Linked DNA regions of Macaca mulatta. The protein of the gene in region 1 binds, or shares a complex with, the protein of each later gene. Links are inferred from orthologs where the notes say so. Each region holds a gene or a part of one and is shown on either strand. Other genes may lie near its edges.

Evidence for each region. The genes of interacting proteins can lie anywhere in the genome.
Region 2: the proteins of FLT1 (region 1) and VEGFB are in contact, whole or in part, in a crystal structure (PDB 2XAC), measured with the Homo sapiens proteins. The link is inferred for Macaca mulatta from reciprocal best matches to the Homo sapiens genes FLT1 and VEGFB. Residues at the interface, in NP_002010.2 of Homo sapiens: Tyr139, Glu141, Pro143, Phe172, Pro173, Tyr199, Ile202, Gly203, Leu204, Asn219, Leu221, Arg224, Thr226; in NP_003368.1 of Homo sapiens: Ser37, Trp38, Ile39, Tyr42, Thr43, Thr46, Cys47, Gln48, Pro83, Asp84, Asp85, Gly86, Leu87, Cys124, Arg125, Pro126.

The regions. Positions count from the first base shown.
Region 1 is NC_133422.1:8,289,733-8,292,032, reverse strand, and holds part of FLT1 (vascular endothelial growth factor receptor 1), read left to right. Parts: intron 1-1,120; coding exon 1,121-1,322; 3' UTR 1,323-2,300. UniProt on the Homo sapiens protein: Tyrosine-protein kinase that acts as a cell-surface receptor for VEGFA, VEGFB and PGF, and plays an essential role in the development of embryonic vasculature, the regulation of angiogenesis, cell survival, cell migration, macrophage function, chemotaxis, and cancer cell invasion.
Region 2 is NC_133419.1:10,163,808-10,168,041, forward strand, and holds the start of VEGFB (vascular endothelial growth factor B), read right to left. Parts: upstream 2,801-4,234; 5' UTR 2,579-2,800; coding exon 2,519-2,578; intron 1,944-2,518; coding exon 1,901-1,943; intron 1,582-1,900; coding exon 1,385-1,581; intron 1,101-1,384; exon of another isoform or gene 997-1,100; coding exon 923-996; exon of another isoform or gene 520-922; intron 464-519; exon of another isoform or gene 358-463; coding exon 322-357; intron 125-321; coding exon 1-124. Other genes in the region: DNAJC4 (dnaJ homolog subfamily C member 4), read right to left, coding at 3,057-3,531. UniProt on the Homo sapiens protein: Growth factor for endothelial cells. VEGF-B167 binds heparin and neuropilin-1 whereas the binding to neuropilin-1 of VEGF-B186 is regulated by proteolysis.

The DNA of each region.
Region 1 (2,300 bases):
ATGGGTTATAGTTTTGAACCCTGATCTAAATCAAAGAATGGCAACAAGTGCCTCCAAGTGATGTAGTTAGCACAGTTCATCGACCACAAGTAAATGGGAAAGACAGGGGCATTTCCAGGCAAACATCTGTGTGTGTGTTTCCTTTTCACATGAGCACAATGGTATTAGAATTGAGTTACAGCCCATCAGAGGCACCAGTGAGGAATGAATGGATCAAAGGGGAAGGTAGGATACTTGCTCTTTTGTTTCCTACTTTGGAACACCTCAGAAAATGGGTGGTGACTAATTTTATCTAGATATTTGTTAAAGAAAAACATAAACCATAAATTGTATCCTCTACTCTGAGACTGAAAATATACAACATGGACATGTTAGTCCAGACCAGTCTAAAACATGCTTCACAGGTTCCCTTCCTCATCCCAGATCCCTTGAAAATAAAAAATTCAAACGAATATTAAAGGGCAAGAGCAGCCCTTCCTCCTCAGGTGTCTGTCCTAGTCTGGGTATAACGTAGAGGACCCAGAAGCAAGTTTCTCCACCCTTGAGCCTTGCTGGTGACAAGTAGCACCATAACTAAAAGCGTTTCCTCTTCTAGAACACAGGCACGATAGGGAGAGGGGCACTCACCTGTGTGTGTGAAGCTCTATTGTTTTCTGAGACTGTTGTAACAAATTGGCACTAACTTGGCAACTTACAAGAGAAATTTATTCTCTTGCAGTTCTGGAGGCCAGAAGGGAGATAAAATATGAAAAATGTGAATATTTTGGAGGGCAGGAGGCATTTCTCAGCCTACCACAGAAGCTGTTTGACCCGAGAATAGGAGAGGGCTGCACCCAGGTCTTGGAGTTACTTTCCACCCGGATTATGGGTTTGCGTTATCTTAGCAGACATCTCACACCCTCCCCCAGCCACTGTCTTTCTGCCCCATGACACCCAGCTGCTATGAGGGAGGCCGTGTGCAGCTTTAGAACAGAGGAAATCTGACAGCAGTTGAGGGGGGGTTCGAAAACCATGAACTCTAGGACAGGTATGAACAAATGACCCACTCAGAAAGAGTAGATTTTAGTGTCTTGTTTTCTAAAAACCAATTCTGAACATTTGATTTCTTTCCTTTCTTTAGCTTGAGAGTCACCAGTAAAAGTAAGGAGTCGGGGCTTTCTGATGCCAGCAGGCCCAGTTTCTGCCATTCCAGCTGTGGGCACATCAGCGAAGGCAAGCGCAGGTTCACCTACGACAACGCTGAGCTGGAAAGGAAAATCGCGTGCTGCTCCCCGCCCCCAGACTACAACTCGGTGGTCCTGTACTCCACCCCACCCGTCTAGAGTGTGACACAAAGCCTTATTTCTAGAAGCACATGTGTATTTATACCCCCGGGAAACTAGCTTTTGCCAGTATTATGCATATGTAAGTTTACACCTTGACCTTTCCATGGGAGCCAGCTGCTTTTTGTGATTTTTTAATAGTGCTTTTTTTTTTTTTTTTTGACTAACAAGAATGTAACTCCAGATAGAGAAATAGTGACAAGTGAAGAACACTACTGCTAAATCCTCATGTTACTCAGTGTTAGAGAAATCCTTCCTAAGCCCGATGACTGCCCTGCTCCAACCTCCGCCACCTCAGGGCACACAGGACTAGTTTGATTCAGGAGCCGCACTGATCACCCAATGCATCATGGACCCCACTAGGCCAGCCCCGCAGCCCAAAACCCAGGGCAACAAGCCCGTTAGCCCCAGGGATCACTGGCTGGCTGGAGCAACATCTCAGGAGTCCTCTAGCAGGCCTAAGACACGTGAGGAGGAAAAGGAAAAAGGCAGAAAGCAAGGGACAAAAGAGAAACCGGGAGAAGGCATGAGAAAGAATTTGAGACTCACCATGTGGGTGGGGAGGGGGACGGGGCTCAGCAATGCCATTTCAGTGGCTTCCCAGCTCACCCTTCTACATTTGAGGGCCCAGCCAGGAGCAGATGGGACAGAGATGAGGGGACATTTTCTGAATTCTGGGAGGCAAGAAAAGGACAAATACCTTTTTTGGAACTAAAGCAAATTTTAGAACTTTACCTATGGAACTGGTTCTATGTCCATTCCCATTCGTGGTATGTTTTGATTTACAGCACTGAGGGTGGCACTCAACTCTGAGCCCATACTTTTGGCTCCCCTGGTAAGATGCACTGAAAACTTAGGTTGTATCCATGGCATGATGGCCTTAACACTTAAAATGTCACATTCTATTTTGAGTATTAATATACAGTCCAGACACTTAATTTCTTGGTATTATCCTGTTTTGCACAGTTCATTGTGAAA
Region 2 (4,234 bases), on another chromosome or scaffold:
AGCGTGGGCAGAGGGTCCTGGGGCTGGAGTGGGATGGGTGATGTCAGCTGGGGAGGGTGCTCCGGGGGCAGAGTCCCAGCCCGGAACAGAGCGGGGCTGGGGACGGTGGTGGGGAGTGGCAGCCCTAGGGAGGAGAAGCGACATGTCTGGGGTGGGAAGGAAGAGTCTTCCCTGGAGCTGGGGTCGGGACAGAGAACACAGGCTTGGGGAGCAGAGGAAAAGGGAAAGCGGGGGACAGGTGGGAGGAGAAAGAGGGGCAACAGCTTCCGGACTCACTTGTACTCCCCCTGCCCCCACTCAGCTGGAGTCCAAAAGACTCACCTGTCCGGCTTCACAGCACTGTCCTTTTTTTTAGGTCTGAAAAATTAAGAGAGATAGACACAAAGAGGAGGAAGATCAGGAAATCCCAGCATCCTACTCTCTCTCTCTCTTTTTGAGACTGAGTTTCCCTATTCTTGCCCAGGCTGGAGTGCTTCCCTATTCTTGCCCAGGCTGGAGTGCTTCCCTATTCTTGCCCAGGCTGGAGTGCAGTGGCATGGTCTCAGCTCACTGCAACCTCCGCCTCCTGGGTTCAAGCTATTCTTCTGTCTCAGCCTCCCAAGTAGCTCGGATTACAGGCATCCGCCACCACACCCAGCTAATTTTTGTTTTTGTTTTTGTTTTTAGTAGAGACGGGGTTTCACCATCTTGGCCAGGCTGGTCTTGAACTCCTTACCTCAGATGATCCGCCCACCTGGGCCTCCCAAAGTGCTGGGATTATAGGTGTGAGCCACTGACCCAACCATCCTACTTTGTTGCCCCAGATCCAAGGCCTACCCTTGGCTCTACTCTTAGGAACCTGGTCCCCAGTTCTGTGGACCACCATACCCAGCACCCCCCCAGCCTGGCCTCTGTAAGCTCAGAATTTGGGCCTGGCTGGCACCTGCATTCACACTGGCTGTGTTCTTCCAGGGACATCTCCCCCAGCTGACTGCTCGGGTACCGGATCATGAGGATCTGTGCTCAGGAGAAGAACAGGGGGGACAGTGAGGGAGAGAGAGAAAGGGGATGCTCTAAGGCTGGAGGGAGAAAAGCTCACCCAACAGCCAGGAGGCTGGCCACCAGCCCTCCCCCCAACCCTACCTCCTGTGCCTCAGTCTCCAGGCTGCCCCAGCCCCAGAGCCAGCCAGCATCCACCCTGCCCACTGCCCCACCTGCCCAGTACCTGCATCCCCTGCCCGCTGCCCCACCTGCCCAGTGCCTGCATCCCCTGCCCGCTGCCCCACCTGCCCAGTGCCTGCATCCCCTGCCCACTGCCCCACCTGCCCAGTACCTGCATCCCCTGCCCACTGCCCCACCTGCCCAGTACCTGCAACCCCTGCCCACTGCTCCATATGCCCAGTACCTGCATCCGGACTTGGTGCTGCCCAGTGGGCACACACTCCAGGCCATCATCAGGGCAGCAGCCACCACAACGCTGCACGGTCACACAGCTGGGCACCAGCTGTTTGGCCACGGTGCCCATGAGCTCCACAGTCAGGGGCACCACCACCTCCCGGGGCTGGCAGGTAGCGCGAGTATACACATCTATCCATGACACCACTGGGAGCAGACCGGTAGGGGTTAAGTCCTCACTGTTTTTCCTGCAGCTGCTCCCAGCAGCTGTCCCCCCCAGTCCCCAAGTCACAGCCACCCTCCAGTAGCCCTCCCCACTCTGCCCTCACAACCTGTCTTCCCCTGCCCTGTTTATCCAGATCCCAGTAACCCCGCTGCCTCAATTTCCTCCTCTGTGAAATGGGTAGAATAACAGTTTGCATATTCTAGGGGAGTTATACAAGATGACGGACACCAGGCACCTGGAATCAGGGCCAATGACAAACCCTCTCAGTGCTGGCTAGTGCCGAGTTTTTATGAGTATTACCTTTCTTCTGGTGGCCAGGAGCATCAGGCTGGGAGACAGGGGCCTGTGGGAGAGAAAAGACCTGTACCCAAGGTACCCTTTAGGAGGGTCTTTCCCTGTCGCCATCCCTGGGGCTTTGCCCTTGCATCAGGAGGCTTCACCACCTCTCTGACATCTTTCCAGATTGCTCTGTTCCTGTGGCCACTGCTCTAGCTTTACCTGTCCTTTCCTGGCCACCCCGGACCTGCCCTGGCCCAAAACACAACAGGTGCTCCGGCGGCCTCATCAAATCTCCAGGCCGCAGAACCGAGCATGTCTGGGGGCTGCATGCAGATCAGGAGCGCGCACAGTGGGCACCGAAGCAGGTCCTGCGAGCACTGAGGGAGCCCCGCCCCCGGCGGTGCCCAGGGGACGGGGTGGGGCGGAGGAGTGGCCCCAGACTGGGGCTGGCGGGCCAGCGGGGAGGGGCACCTCCCAGGGGATGCACGCGCCGGGCCCCGAGACGCCCGCGTCCAAGGCCGGACCCCGCAGATCCCCCCGGCCGAGGCCGCGGGTCGCCTCCTCACTTCCGCCAACCTTGAGAGAGGGCACGGCGGGCTGGCGGGCGGGCTGGCGGGCGCGCTGTCGGGCCGCACGTACCTGGGCGGGGGCCAGCTGCAGGAGCGCGGCGAGCAGCAGGCGGCGGAGCAGGGGGCTCATGGTGCCCGCGGGGGCCGCCCGCCGGGGACGCCCGCATCGCCCTAGCCCGGTGGGGCGGGGGGCGGCGGCAGCCAGAGCCCCATGGCGCGGGCCCGGGCGCGGCGGGCGGGGGCCGGGCGCGGTGGGCGGCTCCTCCGCGGCCCCCTCCCGAGCCCTGGGTGCAGGCAGTGCAGCGCAGAGCAGCGGAGGCGGCCGGAGGAGCCGGGAGGGCGGGCGGCCGGTGGCGGCGGGCGGCGGCGGCGGCGGCGGGGACGGCGGGGGCGGCGGGGGGCCGGGCCCGGGCTGGCGGGCGGGCGGCTCATGTGACCCAGACACGCGCTCCCCACCGGGCCGTGGGGCGGGGGCGGGGCGGCGGGGTGGGGGGGCGAGGCCGCCGGCGGGACCCGCCTCCTCCACACACCCCCCTCCCGCCTCCCGCCGCTGCAGGGGAAAGGGGACGCACCGCCCAGGGGGCCGGGCTCCCGGGTCGCGGCAGTCACTACCCAGAGGGCGGGGCGCTGCCCCTCGGCGAAGCCGGGGCAGGGGGCGCCGGGCCTGAAGGAGGGAGCCGCACACTAGCTCTGCGAATCACTTTATTGCACGCGTTTTGGGAAGCGGGCAGTCCAGGGAAGGAAGCAAGGCGGGAACGCACTGCAGGCCCTATCCAGGTGAGCCCCTCAGGGGCCGGCGCCCGGGGGCACGATCTCGGGGACTTGGGTTGGCTCCGGTGGTGGCGGCTGCTGCTGCCTTTGCTGTTGTCGCTCCTGCTGAAGGCTGGCTCTGTTGGCCCTGGAGGAGAGGGCACCTGGGTGGTTGGGATAGGGATCCCGAAGTGTGGTGCCGGGACAGGGAGCAGGGGGCAGAATAGAGCAGGGACAGACCTGGCCCGCGCCCGCTCCCGCGCTTCATTGTACATGGCTGTGATGATCCGATCCTTTTCATCCATGAAATTAAGGTGCATCTGCTTCACCTTCCTGCAATGTGTCACAATTAACCCTGGGACTCGAATTCCTGTTGTCCCTGAAGTCCTGCCCCCTTCCACCCCACTCTAGGGGCCTCACAGCTTTTTAACCCACACAGGGTTAGGGACCTCAGCCTAACCCTGCCTGTGATAGGTAGGGAGGGCTCAGAGTGGCCCTGGCTTGTCTAGGGTCCAATGGCATCCGAAGTCCCTGGCCACTTCGAGGTGTTACAGCAGCTGTGGACATGGGGGTGCTCCTCCCAGAAGACTAGAAAGGGTATGCATCTAACTCCATCACTGAACTAGGCAGGCTGCTAGCAGTGGGCACTGGCCTTTAGGTATTTGCTATAGAAAATCGGCTTCGTGGCTAGGCGCGGTGGCTCACGCCAGTAATCCCTCTACTTTGGGAGGTCGAGGCGCATGGATCATATGAGGTCAGGAGTTTGAGACCAGCCTGGCCAATATGGTGAAGCCCCATCTCTACTAAAAATACAAAACAATTAGCCAGGCGTGGTGGTGGACGCCTGTAGTCCCAGCTACTTGGGAGGCTGAGACAGAAACAGAAGAATTGCTTGAACCCGGGAGGCAAAGGTGAGGTTGCAATGAGCCAAGATCGCGCCACTGTACTCCAGCCTCGGCGACAGAGTGAGACTCCACCTCAAAAAAAAAAAAAAAAGAAAAAAGAAAACAAAAAAGAGAATCAGCTTCGTGGCACG